3 linked regions of the Drosophila melanogaster genome follow. The protein of the gene in region 1 purifies or fractionates together with the protein of each later gene. This does not show direct contact. Each region holds a gene or a part of one and is shown in the gene's direction. Other genes may lie near its edges. The genes, in order: conv, ImpL2 and Ilp5.

Region 1 (7,731 bases):
GAGATACATGACACTTCTTTTTGCTGGCTTGGTACTTGACAATTACTTTCCTGATAACCCGCTCCCAAGTTTGAACTGCGAAACAAAGCTTAACGATTAAAATTCACTTAAACCTCCAACAATTTGACTTTCAAAACGCGTGCTGATTTCATAAGCATGCGACTGTAAACTAAAATCAGCAAGCAAATTTAAAATTTACACCAGCTGAGTTTTTAGCCTCAAAGCGCAGGTGCACTAACTAAACAAAAATAAATGTGACTTCTACAACTTATTTAGTGGGTTAAATAAGTCGATTAAATTCTCAACACACAACTGTTCAAAATGTATGCGATTCCGAAGATGCTCCACTTTTTGCCAAACTGTGAGCTGTAATTTAATAACAAAGTTGACTGGAAAAAGCTCATTCAGATGCCCCGCATTCCAATTACTCGATACAAAAGATTCAAGTGTTTTCATTTTATTCACTCGTATTGCAGTAGAGACGTCCAAGATTATAATGATCAGTGAATCTGTAGTTGATAAGCTTTTTTATAAAAAACAAAGACCGATCATGCCGGTTACAACTGAATGTAGCAGCCGTTACGTTAATATTAAGATACTTAAGGTAGACAATAGCAGATGGTCAGGCAATGGAGACCTAGTCCTTGGCGGGCACCTCAATGACGCGGGGCTTGTCGATGATGCGTGCGGTCTTATTGCCCTTCTCAACGATGCCGATGATCCAGGCCTGGTAGCCCTCCTGCTTCTCGATGTCCTTGCAATAAGCAGCGGCCTGCTCTCGCGGCAGGCAGATCAGTAATCCTCCCGAGGTCTCCGCCGAGTGGCCCTGCAGCAGCTGGAACATGTTGCCGCAGGCTTTGGCCACTGCAGCCATCTTGGCGATCACCGGCAGATTGTGGATAACAAAGGAGACATCCTTTTTCTGATGTGCAGCCAGGGTTTGAGCGTGGCCTAGTAGTCCGAATCCAGTAATATCGGTGGCTCCGTGGGCATTGTACTTGTGCATGAGGCGAGCGGCTACGCGGTTGAGGCGAGCCATAGAGTTCATCGCCCGGTGGTAGGCCTTGCGTACATCTTCTTCGGACACCACCAGCTTAATGCGGTTCCAGCGCTCCGGCTGGTCAATCCACTGGTGGGCATTCACGGCCACTTGGGTGCCCAGTGGCTTGGTTAGCACCAGTACATCCCCTACCACGGCATTATCTGGCACAATATACTCATTTGGCTGGCAAATGGTCGAGGCAACCCCACCAATGGTGCACCACGGATTGACCACGCTCTGGCCTCCAGTCACAGTGGTGCCTGCCTCCAAAGCGGAGTCCTTAAAGCCTCGCATTATCAGCGGAATGACCACGTCACGCTCCTTCTCTGTCATCTTGGTACTGACCGCCAACAGCATCAGCATGTTATCGCAATCTGTGACTCCCATGGCATACAAATCGCTGAGCACATTGGCGCACGCAATTTTGCCCATCATGTAGGGATCATCGACAATGGGGTAAAAGAAATCGGTGGTCTGCACCAGGCAGAGTCCGCCGTGTCGCAGCGGAATGACGGAGCAGTCCAGGCCAATACCGATGCGGGGAATGGCCACGTTGAGAAACTGCGGTTCCTGGTCCTGGGCAGAGTAGTCCTGCTGCAGGGCGGACACCAGCTTGGAGAGCACATCCTGCGGCACTTTGCAGCCGCGCCCCTTTAGATCTGCGAAGCGTGTAAGGCGGAAGGATGCATCCAAATCATGGGCCGTGGGATCGAATGGACGACGCAACTCGGCGTCGCCACCACCATGGAGCTCCAAATGGGCCGAGTTCAGCACATCAGCGGCGTAGCTCATCTTGCTTTATAGCTGTGGATGGGGGAGATGCAAAGAACAGAATGTAAGTAGCGGCTTTAACCGATTAACGCACTTTTGCCGCGCAATAAACACATAGTGGGCTACTCTATGCAGCGAGTAACTCGCGTTCTCCCCGGCCACCAATACCACAGCGCTCAGACGTGTATGTACACGGATTTTCTGCCGCGTGTGTGTAGCGCGGCCCGTGATTGGCTGCAGTCGCGATGGCGGCTAAAACGGGCGAAGTCAGTATTTCTCCCTGTCGACGAGGCGAGCAACGTGAACAATGCCCACTCATTTCAATTGCAAAATGCCAAAAAGTGCGCGCTTTGAATTGGCCATTTGGTTCGTTGCGTTCGTTTGTCTTTTGGTACTTACGTTTGCTTGTGCGATTGTACAAAGATAATTGTAGAGTAACGTTAGCAAATTATATTTATTTTGCGCCTGGTTTTTGCTTTTCCAACGAGCGAGATGTCACAACAGGGTTGTATTAGCGTGTGCGGCTGATTCGATATTTGGGATGCCGATTGTCTGAAGCGATGGTTCAACGGGGCTGCCAACTCGCCCGAAATCTATCGATTGTATTGTGCGCCAAGGGTAAAATAAATAAAAATATGTTAAAACCGCGGAATAAATGGGGGAACCGAAGTGGAAACTGTGGTTCACAGTGCTCTGACTTTCGGGAGCAGTTAATATAGTTGGCATTAATTCAATTAGAGCTCCAAAGTGCTGGTCACAAAGAGCGCACAAGAGCGGCCCATGAAAACCTGTTGCGCCAGCAGAGCGAAAAGTAAAAGTAGAAGAAACCATTTACCTTTGTTCGTTGATAAGACAAGTTAACTTTACTCCACATCCCAAAAAAAAACCCACCTCATTCAAGCGGAACATCGTTAAACAAAGAACTATAAGTTTCAGGAAATCGAAGCCCACACAAAAGACTTGAGCAGCGAACTTGGTTTTGGGCCATGGGATAAACTAAATTAAAACGGTGACGAAATCATTAAAACATGATTCAGCTACGCCTGCGCACTCTCGTTTTGCTGCACTTCATTGCCCTAGCCAGTTCGGAATATGTGTATGGCGAACCCGAATTCAAGTGTCCAAAAAAGTGAGTTATTCCAAATATTGTATATTACATATTTCTTCACTTATATGGTGTTTTTTTTTCAAATCAGATCAAAGGCCTTGTACCCCTGCGAATGTGTGAAGGGCAGCGATAATGGCCTCTACATTCGGTGCGAAAATACAAACTTGGCTACCTTATCCGTAGCCCTTCAGAATTTGGCCTCTTTTGGTATGCCCATCGAGGAGTTGACCATCTACAGAGGACATTTCGGTGTGTACTTCTACACGTCCTTTTAGTCTGTTAAGCTGAAGAATCAAATTCTCTTTCTAGTTCGTCTATATGGGCCACTATTTGCTCATATCAAAGCACGAATGCTGATCATAGAAGAAACACCATTGGCCACCATTGAGGATTATGTTTTCTATGGAGTAAATAATACTTTGGAGCAACTGCATTTACTTCGCACAAATCTAAGCCACGTTGGTTTACTAGGATTCGGCGTAAGAATTAAACAATATACCGATACCATCGTTATCTAAACGGGAAATTCTTTTTTCAGATTCTAGGAAAAGCTAAGGAACTCGTAATCGATGGCCATGCGTTCCAACAGCTACCCAAGGATCTATTTGCTGGCCAAGAGATCGCCAATAGTCTGGGAATCATACGTGTGACCAATGGTAACCTAAGTGATCTGCCTATTGAGACTTTCCAGCCATTGCGGAAACTAAAAACGCTCGACTTGCATGGAAATCAATTGGAGAATCTGAAACGAAACCAATTTAAGAATCTAAGAGAGTTGGAGGTCTTGGATATAAGTCACAACCAGATCAAAAAGCTGGAGGCACAGCACATAGCTGATCTGACAAAGCTGGGATGGTGCAACGTTTCTCATAATGCCCTAAGCGAACTTAGTCGCGGAACTTTTGCCAGAAACTCTGTGTTGAAGGTGCTCCATTTGTCCCACAACCAGATTGCACGCCTAGATGCGAATAGTTTTAGGGGTATGCGTTTCCTCCGTCGTCTTTTCCTCAGCGATAATGTGCTCACGGATATTGGTCGTGGTACTTTCGGCTCAATTGCCCGCATTGGAACTATTGATCTTGCACGCAACCGTCTTAAGAAGATCGAGTTCCAGATGTTTACCCAGATGAACTATGTGGAGGTACAATTGCTAATATAAAATTTGAAAAATTTAACTAATTGCTGCTTTTCAGTTGCTCGATTTGGCGGAGAACAACATAACCAAGATTGAAAAGAACTCTTTCAAGGATATTTACCAGGCTATCATAAACGTATCGCATAACGCTTTGGAACTCATTGAAACAGCTGCATTTGAAAATTGTGTAAACATCACGGTTCTTGACTTGTCTCACAATCGGTTGGCCAACTTTTCGCGTCGCAGCTTCGATGAGACCACTTTCGCGACCTATTTTCAGCTGAGCTACAACAATCTTACCAATTTGGCACAGATTCCCATTCAAAATATGACTGGCTTGAAAGTCTTGAATGCCTCGTACAATAGCATTACCGAAATACCCAAAAATTGTTTTCCAAAGCTCTATGAACTGCACACCATCGATGTCTCGCACAATAACATCTCCAGTATATTTAATGGAGTTTTTCAAACCCTATTCTCGCTACGCTCAATTGATCTTAGCCATAATAGCATGAGGGAAATCAAGTCGTCGACATTTGGCACTTTGCCAACCCTCTTGGAAATGGATCTGAGTCATAACGAACTGGTATCCGTAGTGCGAGGATCGCTGGCCAAGTTGACCAGTTTGCGACAGCTGTATTTAAATAATAATCAATTGGAAAAACTTTTCCAGTTGCCTATTTCCCTAAATGAGCTGTACTTCAGCCATAACAGGCTGACTAATATACCATCGGGCACCTGGCCAGTGATGAACTCACTGATCTACTTGGACCTAAGCCATAATCAGCTGGGAGACACTCTAAACGGGGAGAGTTTTACAGGTCTGTTGGTGGTGCAACGACTGAAGCTGCAAAACAATGGCATCAGTCAGCCACCAAAGGATGCGGTGGCTGTCATGTCAACACTGCAGTACTTACATTTGGAGGTGAGCAAATGCTATGAGAATTCTAACCTCCAAACTCATCCAACTTTTTATTTAGAACAACAATATTACGACCTTAGAACGAAGTGCCTTTGGTAAGCTGCCCGTCTTGTTTGAGTTAAATCTGTATGGTAACCAAGTTAAGGATATAAGGTAAGATTTATCTAAAATCTGTACATTTTTTATTTATAATATGACTAATAACCCATTTATAACTTGTAGCAAGCGAGCTTTTGAGGGACTGCTGCAGCTGCTCACTTTAAATTTGTCATCGAACGGAATCCAGACTCTGCAAAATGACATCTTTGTTGGTCTACCATCTCTGCGAAACCTTGATCTGTCCTTCAATTCTCTCACCAAGTTGGACAACAAAACCAATGGTGTTCTGGATGATTTACTCAGTTTGGAAACCTTAGATTTGAGTCACAATCGTATAAGTTTTGTTACCAAGAAAACCTTTCCCTCTCATCAGTACATTCCGTACAACCTAAGAAACCTGAACCTAAGCTACAATTTGATGCCAATACTGACCTATGATATTACATTCGGCACCAAAAAGCTGGTTCGGTTGGATGTATCTCACAATCAGATCAACGATCTAAGGAGAGGAGTTATCTCTAATTTTACTTCACTTCAAAGTTTGGATATGTCTTATAATGAACTATCTAATCTGAAGTCTGAAGAGCACATCTTTGACCTGCCTCAAAACCTGAGCTGGTTGGACCTTTCCCACAACAAAATCTACCACTTGCCGTTCGCCAATCTGGTGAAAGTGAAATCCCTGAAATATGTTGATCTTACCAACAATAGTCTGGAGGATGTGCCCGCTTCGATAGTGGGCAGCATGCGTAATGGTAGCCAAGTACTTCTGGCCGGAAATCCTCTGCACTGCGGATGCAATGCACGACCGTTGAAATACTTTATGCTGCAGCAAACGATAGCTGGAGAGGATTTGAAGAGTATTTACTGCGGAACGCCGGCTTTGATCAAGGACAAGCAGCTTATATCTTTGGACGATGAGTATCTGCACTGCGCCGAGGATGAGCAGGAGATGTATAAGGGCATTGACTATGAACAGCTTACAGATGTCCGATTCCGAGAAGTGAAAACGTATGCATATTTTGCAGTTTGAACTTAAAGTAACTTATAATCCTTGTACATTTTTCAAATAGCAACAAAGCGGGCATGTTGACCCTATGCTGGTATGTCTCCGGCTTTTCAGACGTCTCAGACTTCCACGTTTATATCCGAAGCAGTAGCAACGATGTGCTTCACCAGTCGGACTATGCCTATAACAATCGTACTGCCCAAATCCCGGTGGAAGAGCTATCGACGCTGGGAGAAGAGAAACTTCGAGGCGCTGAGATATGTATAGTATCCCGGGATAGCGATGGAAATACGCGCAAGTGGTTCTCCGGGCAGTGCCAGCAGCTACCTTCGCTGAAGCGGCCCCGGACTTTCTTCTTCGGAAACTTTCAGGTCCGCGGTGGCGTTTCCCGGACCTCCAGCAGCCTACCTCGTTGCCTTTTGTATATAATACTCGTTTTGTTTGTTGCCAGATTGTAGTTAGCATGGGAAAACTGTGCACCAAGATTATTTTCTTAATAAGTAGATAACTATACTCGAAAATGATTGTAATACTGATTGTCTTCAAGTTACAAATTGTGCACTTTATGTATGTAAAAATCGTTTTAAGTTCGTATCGATGTGATAAAATGAATCTTGAAAAGAGATCAGATTGTCCTTGATCTTTGATCCCATTGTTGGCCGTTTGCTAGTGTGTGTCGCTGTGGCCATGGCTCACTGTAAGGACACGCTGTGCTCTGACCTTACAGCTGAACATGTGCGCGACGCCCTATTATCACAGCCGTGCGCACATGTATTTGTTTACTTGGACGCCGCCTCGCGTGGGCAGCGCAATTCAGAAAGCGTTGGAGCCCACAGCCAACCCAACGGGCCAGCTGATGGCTGATGGCCCAGGCTGGCTGACTTTCATTCAGGGCGAAAACACAAAGGCTGTAATCCGAAGTGCTCTTCGGCGCGGCGATTCATTCTCAACTCGGACTCGGCTCCTGTTTGTGCAGCGGGAGCGGACAAAAGGACTGCGAGCGAGTGAAAGGACTCGCCTGAGAGCCTGGCAAATGCGCACTCGCGCTCTCAACCGAAAAGGCATGCGAGTAGCACACTGGCGGTCGAAATTGTTTGCACAGCTACAGTATCGGCATGCTCCTAGAATTATGCTATTGTTTTTGTTATTTGGCTCTACAGTTTCCTGTTCTGAATATATTTAATTTATTACCAGGGGGGAAATATACATACGTTAGCAATGTTTTTAAAGCTTTATTATTTCTTAAATATATACAACACAAATTTAATGTAAAGGTACAGCAATTAAGATTGTTTTTAATTTTTGGATTTTATTACTGAGGTAATTTCTGATCAATACATGTGTGTATTACACCCTACCTTATTCGATAGCTTCCAGGAGATATTGAAGGAGCATCCAAAGGACCTATCAATTCGACCGAACCTCCACTGTGCCGCAGGACACGAGACACTAAGGACATGTGCACTTTCACTGCCGCGCGCCACCCACATGCTCTCGGTTTCACTTTGGCCGCAGAAGAATGTGCTTTTGTGCCGTTCGCCTTTGCCATCCTGGTCCTCCTGCCCCCGCCGCCTCCTCCTTAGGATTTTGGCAGGCGACTTTGCCTGTCCTTATCGATTTTCAGCGAATCTCGCGGGCTCGGCTC
Region 2 (4,179 bases), on another chromosome or scaffold:
TCCCATGGGTGGTTATTAATTGGGAGATTGGTTATGGATTACAAAATTAATTCGTTCGAATGAATTCGAAACCATGGAGTTTTAATTAATGGTTTTGACAACTACAGTGCTAATTCAGTAAGCTAAACGAATAATATACGGTTGATACTTTGCACTTCGTCGAAATGATTCATGAATATTAACAGAGTAGTGTGAAGCACCTTTATATGTAGGGTTAATTAATTTTACTTACATGTGATAGAAAGTCATAGGATCTCGAACACTGTTGTATGTTCTCAACAACTTGCATAAGATGACAATGTTAATTGTCAAGATCGAAATGAAATGGTATATGGGCTGGAAAGTCATTGAGCTATCCTTGTGAGACACCTCAGTTTCCAAACCACCAACTCTGGACTGCGGACGCAATTAGGCGGTGGAAAGACAGATCCCGAGGCGGATAATCGAACCCCCCGTCCGGTTATATCTGTTTTGTTCCGCACCTTCCCGGTGCGGCGGTCGCATAAAGAATTACGATCCGAGAACGAGCAGAGAGAGAGCGGCGAGTGAGTGAGAGTGTGTGTGTGTGTGTCTGTTGTCTGTGTGTGTGTGTGAGTGAGCCGGCGTCGCATATAAATGGAACAGCGCTGCGGCCACCAATTCAGTTCTGTTACAGTTTCCAGCTGTTGAACACGACTTTTGAGAGCCGCCGAAGCCAACTGATCCGAAGTTAACTAAGCCGATCCGCGATCCTCGCTTTTCAATTCGCCGTGAACCGCATTCGCAGCAGCAATCCCCCCCAAAAACCAAAAACCAACACACCTTGACTCGAGTGTAATGTCGATGAACCGTGCGTATTCAAACGAGTGCCGCGCCAACCAGACAACCATCAAGAAGTACCAGACCAAGTCCACGTCCACATCGAAGGAGCACTGATACCGCCACGAGGATCGAATGTGCCAAAGTAGTCAGCTAGATATTCGCTACGCCGCCTGAGATTAACACGCTTCCGCTACCCAATTACTCGATCCTTATCCCGATCCTGAAGCGCCACTCCCGAGCACAGCACCCAGACGTTTCAATACGATCCATCCTCGTCGCCCAAGACAGACCGGCAAGCAGCCAAGATTCCACCAACACTGAGCTGCACGACCTCCAAGACGGCATCCAGCGCCGGACCTATGTCAGTGCTAAGCCAGCTGCTGCTCAACTTCAACCAGAAAGCCCAGACCAGGAGCCATCACAACATAGAGCTGATAAATTCGTTCATAACATAACGATAAGCCGACCTGCTTCTGCTTTACCTGATCTATCATCGTCCAACGTTGGGGAGAAATTTGCAAACATTTTTTACCGGAAGAGAAAAAAGAAATCAAATCAAAGGGTGAGTAATGTGCGTTAACAATAGATAGGTGATTGCCGCCGAACGCAGTTTCGTGTTCCGTTTTTCGTTTGTTTTTTTTTTTTCAAAATTCGAATTCGTAGAAATGCCCAAAGATACAAAAATCACCGTCGAAGGGCAAAGACCGTCTGATGCAACATTCGCCAGCGATTGGCGAATGACTTTTTGTGGGGCTACTACTAATTCATACATACAAGCGTATGTACATACATAATACCCTCGAAACTATTTGAATAATTAATCGGTCACGCAGTTTGTCCAGTCTAGACTATGGGGACACATTGGCCCTTGATCTGCGGCTGAAGCGTGGGTGAGTGTGTGAATCCGAATCGGGCTGTAGAATTCGAATTTAAATTGACGTCACACTCCGCGAGTCATTCCGTTTTCCGTTTTCGATTTCTGCCTCTGATTCGGCCCACGCAAGAATCTTATATCATTTTCTTTTGTCAATTCTTGTTGTCTGGTGACGTGTCATTGTGAAATACATTCATCTACGTTTGGACCGAGCACATCTCTTAGGGGCCGGAAAAGGATTCCGAATCTAAATTCCGGACTCCGAGAGCCATTAGCACATTTCGCAAGTGTTAGTAATGTTCTAGAGCCCGCCGACTGAAGGCCTTGCGTTCTTATCGGGGAAATAGACTCGGAGACCTCCCCTGATTAATGGAGGCGGTGATGAGTGGGGGAAGTGGGGTGGTGGGGTGGTGGGGGGATGCATGACTGGCTGAAAAGTCGGGCTAATCGCATCACGTTGCTCTGGGGTTTAATAACCTATATTAGAGTCGTACGAGTGCCGCTGTTGAACTTTGAACTCACTTCCGATTTCCACTCTCTCTATCGATCTTGCAGAAAATGAATTTACATGTGTGCGCCTTAGCGCTGCTGCTGTTCGGCAGCATCGCCACTGTCCGCGGAAGAGCCGTGGACCTGGTAGACGATAGCAACGACGTGGATAACTCCATCGAGGCGGAGGAGGAGAAGCCACGCAACCGAGCCTTCGAAGCCGACTGGCTCAAGTTCACCAAGACGCCGCCGACGAAGCTGCAGCAGGCCGATGGAGCCACCATCGAGATCGTTTGCGAGATGATGGGCTCCCAAGTGCCCAGCATCCAGTGGGTGGTGGGTCACCTGCCCCGCTCGGAGCTCGATGATCTGGACTCCAACCAGGTTGCCGAAGAGGCGCCCAGTGCCATTGTGCGCGTCCGATCGTCGCATATCATCGACCACGTGCTGAGCGAGGCCCGCACCTACACGTGTGTGGGACGCACTGGCTCCAAGACCATCTATGCCAGCACTGTGGTGCATCCTCCTCGCTCCTCTCGTCTGACGCCGGAGAAGACCTACCCGGGTGCCCAGAAACCGCGAATCATCTACACCGAGAAGACGCATCTGGACCTCATGGGCTCCAACATTCAGCTGCCCTGCCGCGTGCACGCCCGTCCCCGCGCCGAGATCACCTGGTTGAATAACGAGAACAAGGAGATCGTCCAAGGACATCGCCACAGGGTGCTGGCCAACGGCGATCTTCTGATCTCCGAGATCAAGTGGGAGGATATGGGCAACTACAAGTGCATAGCCCGCAACGTCGTCGGAAAGGATACCGCCGATACCTTCGTGTATCCCGTACTTGTAAGTATTCCCCTACCCGCCGGGTTATACCAACTCATCCTAAGTAATCCCTACGTATTTTTCTTGTCCTTGCAGAATGAGGAAGACTAAAGATCCTACCACCAAATAAAAAACAAAAGGCTATTGGATTGACGACGGAAATTCATCTAGTTAGTTAGATAGATCAAATGCCTTCGAAGATGCGTGAAAAGAAATGAAATATGCTTAGAAAAAATACAAAAAAAAAAAAATCAAAAAAAAATATGATGGATCAAAAGGTCATACGATTTACAATTATGTACAATTTAGATTAAGCACAATCTAGCTCGTAGTCCAGGTAATTAACCGTATCTAATGCCGGCTTAGACACTAATTTTCCCACTTATTATCCTCGAATATCAGTCACATTTAGAGCATTCGAATTATAGCACCTACTTTATGGTTTTCTTCAATTATAGCTTTAGTTATCGGCTTGTAATCACGCTTCTTTGGTTCTTTGTAAGTAGCAATGATTGTTCCTAGCGATTCAGGCAGCACTAGTTAACGTATTTAAACTAATTGGCCGTTTACTTAAGGGCACTGCAGCCCAAGAAGCACTTATGACTCGTGGCACAAGCCACAGTCAATCAACCAATCAATCAGTCAATCACCCACCCAATTCGTATTTATGTGCACCCATCATTTCTACAACTAATTTATTGATCGACCAAATTCATTCAGCATCGCCACCCATACAGAATCACTGAATAGTATTCACGGAATTAATCAGTTTCATAAGCTACCCGACTATGTTTTAATTTATAAGGTAATAGAACTGAAATATGTTTTTCTAATTGTTTAGTGTTAGTTTTAATCCAACCTTCAAGCGATTGTTTTTGAATAAATACAAGAAAATTGAAACAAAAGTACTCAATGGGCTGAATGGGTGAATAAAACGAGCAGCTACGAGTACATACACTTTTCATCACTTTATTGACGGATCTACAAACTACGAATAGTCACATTATCTACATAAACTCGTACAGTTACGTACATACATTGAACGGGTAAAACAGTTTTGCCATATTTTGCAATACGATCTTAACAACAAATAACGATCTCGATCCGGAGGACCTTTACGTACACAGATGATATACTATATATTGCTGGTGTAGATAGATATTGATAGGTTGGCTCCAAAGCGGGGGCTA
Region 3 (3,319 bases), on another chromosome or scaffold:
TGATTTTCCTTAGCCTGCGAATCCTGACCAGACTTGGAACGCATTATCGGCGATGGCAAGGGTGGTGGAACTGGAGTGCTTGGCGTACTGCTCGACTGCCGTTGGAGCAACTTAATCCCACCGGTGGCACTCACATAGGTGGGACTCTCGGTTCGCGGCTGGATGTCCTCCATCTCCTGGTGATCCTGCAGATACGAACAGGCGTCGTCGTAGATCTGCTGGGCACTCAGCTTGAGCTGGTCCGCCGATGCCTCCACGCGAATGGGCACAATGCGAGTGTTGGCCAACGGACTTGGACTCGGATTCACCGGACTGATGCTCCCATTTGTGGCCAAAGCCAAAGCCATCTGCTGCTGCTGTTTAACTGCCACGTTGTCAATTACCATTCGCCCTGCTGTCTTCGCTTGATTGAGATTTGCGGCAGCTGGCGACACCGGTGTCGGTGGCAGCGGCAAGGTCTCCAAATCCACATCTTGACCAGAATTGGGATCATCCTCGCTGTCGCCGTCGTGGCCATATGAGATCTTTACCTCAGTGGCCAGTTTTATGCACCGCCGTTGGACTTTTGGCTTTGAAGTTCTCGGCTTAGGTGGCGGCAATTCCGGAGCACCCACTGTACGTTTCCGGGAGCGGCTACGATCCAGGGAATGAGCCTGTCTCTTGTATCTTGGCCTATATGGAGTGATTTGAGTGGGCAGAGTTGGTGTGGCGGACCTTTTGTGGGCCAATTGCTCGTAGTACTCACATCGCGGAGCCACCAAACCCAAATCCACATCGGCTGCCTTGGTCTCTGGAGCGGAGAATCCCTTGGATATGGGAGTTTGATGGAAAACTTCCGCCAGGTCAGGTTCTTTGGTGTGCTTTTGGAGCGTTTTTGATCTCTCTTTGGAGCCACCATCGCGTCGTCGCTGCTCTCTCACTTCATTGGCAGTGGGTTCGATAACCAGGGTGGGACTCTGGAACTTCTCCCTCAGAGCCTCAATACTGTGCGATGGGCTGCAGGAGATCTGATGGCTCTGTTCGGGATTGATAGTTGGTTGATCCTGCTCAGCTGGAGGCCAGCTGTGATCCCGTTTGAGCAGATGCCTCTTGGTGGCCAGACGGTTGATTTTCAGCACCGTGTCCCGATCGATAGTGATGTCCTGCTGATGACTGAGATAGTCTGTTTTGATCTGGTTCAGAAGCTGCTGGTGCAGCGTGTGATGCAGTGCATCCACCTCGCCTCGTTGACGCGGGCGACTCTGCCTTTCAGTGGGGTAAAAATCTTTGTGGGGGAAGTCCCCTGAATTTATTTAAATTTATCTGTAAAAAACACTAATATTGGACGAGCACTGGGACTGGAGTTTGCTGTTTTGTTGTATGTTTCTACACTGTTTCTTTTTGTCTAGGCAACATAAAATAAACGCGCATAGACAAATATCCAAAAAAGAGAGGTATATCTTACCACATTTGGCTTGTTGTTCTTCCTCTTCGACGGCGCGCAGAACGGCCGAGTTGGCCAAGTTCAGGGGCTTCGTTATTTGATCGTCGACTTCAATCCTAAAAATAACGTAAAAATACAATACAATTAGTAAGAATCAATGCACATCGTATATTGTATGAGGTAAAATTTTAAATTTCGCGGTATATACTGCTTGTGTGTTTGGCGCACTGCTTCGACTGCTTGCAAGCAGTTAGCGCCAAATTTAAATTTATTTTTAAATATGCTCTCCTCGCAGGCATGTATTCGATTGTCATGCGTTCTTTTGGTATATGTTATAGAATTATACATGTGAACAGGCAAAAATGTAATATACGACTTTACTTTCTTAGATATACAATAAGTACATTACTTAAATATTTCATGAAATACAAACTTATGATCGTATGCACTATTTGCACGATAAGCCAATTAAACATATTGAAAATGAAAGCCCTTCTAACTAAAGACCATATATATCGTTATACATTTTGATTTCAGCTATTATATATAGATTCCGCCACCCCCTTGGTGCATCCGATTAAGCGAAAGTTACGCTAATCCATGGGCATAAATTAATGATAGCACCCTGCGATGTCCTGACATTGAAAATTAGCAAGTACGCTCCTGCCCACGCTGACCCCAAAAGACTAATCCAATCTGACAGGTGAAAGTGCGCCGGCGGATATAAAAATGGCTGACAGCGGCGGAAACTGCACCACATCCTATCCAGCAGCAGTTCCAGCAAGGCAATGATGTTCCGCTCCGTGATCCCAGTTCTCCTGTTCCTGATCCCGCTCCTGCTATCCGCCCAGGCCGCAAACTCGCTGCGGGCTTGTGGCCCCGCCTTGATGGACATGCTGAGGGTTGCCTGTCCCAATGGATTCAATTCAATGTTCGCCAAACGAGGCACCTGTGAGTATCGGCTGCGTTTTTTTGGGGTTTGGGGTTTCCAAACGGCACGAACTCACTTATTTTACTTGCAGTGGGCCTATTCGATTATGAGGACCACTTGGCGGATTTGGATAGCTCCGAATCTCACCACATGAACTCACTGTCGAGCATTCGGCGCGATTTTCGCGGCGTTGTCGACTCCTGTTGCCGCAAATCGTGTTCCTTTTCCACGTTGAGGGCATACTGCGACTCCTAAAAATGCTGCGATACCTGGTCCATCAGTTTACATACATACATATATGAGACATGTTACGTAAAAGTATTAAGTATAAACTATATGCACGGCTTTGAAACTTGAAACTACAATAAATAAGCGCAATTCGAAACATCGCTTTTTAATTTCTTCAAACATTAAATATTATAAATATTTCGATAATAATTTTAGCCTTTAAAAGTGAACAGATACACTAAATGGTTAGCAAAAGAACAATATGAACAATTTTAAACACACTTTGATATATCCAAATTCTATTATAACAATGTTTATTTTTTTCCATACGAAAATATGCTCCTTTGAGCGGAAGGAAAATCAAATTTTGATTTAAATCGCAGCAAGTTGGGTGGAAATTTTGCACACAAACAAAACTATGCCTTTCGCTTGCCTGGCGATTTTCTTTAAGCTGGCAAAAAGAGTTTTCAACTTTAATTATAATTTGCTTGAAATGTTTTGCTTTCAACGCATCATCTTAATCTGGGACGAAATGTTTTGCCTCAACAAAACGAGATAACAAACAGAAATATTTAAGCTAAGAAAATGTGCCTGCTGAGATAAGACCTTAAAGAATTTATGGACGACAAAGTCCAGAGATAATCGCCAAGCTTTAAGCTTTTTCGGCAATTTAAGACGAACGTCAGCCATTCCTCATTAGATCCGACATTGACCTTTTAGCTGGGAACATTTGGCAA

Evidence for each region.
Region 2: the proteins of conv (region 1) and ImpL2 purify together in Drosophila melanogaster (affinity purification with western blotting, with the first as the bait; one study listed by BioGRID). This does not show direct contact.
Region 3: the proteins of conv (region 1) and Ilp5 purify together in Drosophila melanogaster (affinity purification with western blotting, with the first as the bait; one study listed by BioGRID). This does not show direct contact.

Annotation. Positions count from the first base shown.
Region 1 is NT_033778.4:14,268,329-14,276,059, forward strand, and holds conv (convoluted), read left to right. Parts: upstream 1-2,400; 5' UTR 2,401-2,841; coding exon 2,842-2,942; intron 2,943-3,009; coding exon 3,010-3,170; intron 3,171-3,230; coding exon 3,231-3,400; intron 3,401-3,459; coding exon 3,460-4,062; intron 4,063-4,114; coding exon 4,115-4,981; intron 4,982-5,036; coding exon 5,037-5,131; intron 5,132-5,200; coding exon 5,201-6,088; intron 6,089-6,150; coding exon 6,151-6,544; 3' UTR 6,545-7,167; downstream 7,168-7,731. Other genes in the region: Sps1 (selenophosphate synthetase 1), read right to left, coding at 638-1,834.
Region 2 is NT_037436.4:4,223,758-4,227,936, reverse strand, and holds ImpL2 (Ecdysone-inducible gene L2), read left to right. Parts: upstream 1-1,986; 5' UTR 1,987-2,044; coding exon 2,045-2,053; intron 2,054-2,230; coding exon 2,231-3,010; intron 3,011-3,085; coding exon 3,086-3,100; 3' UTR 3,101-3,227; downstream 3,228-4,179. Other genes in the region: CG46460 (uncharacterized protein), read left to right, coding at 1,161-1,256. UniProt on the Drosophila melanogaster protein: Essential developmental role during embryogenesis, in particular the normal development of the nervous system. May be involved in some aspect of cell adhesion.
Region 3 is NT_037436.4:9,822,766-9,826,084, reverse strand, and holds Ilp5 (Insulin-like peptide 5), read left to right. Parts: upstream 1-2,187; 5' UTR 2,188-2,211; coding exon 2,212-2,374; intron 2,375-2,445; coding exon 2,446-2,609; 3' UTR 2,610-2,736; downstream 2,737-3,319. Other genes in the region: CG43897 (uncharacterized protein), read right to left, coding at 1-1,282, 1,445-1,539.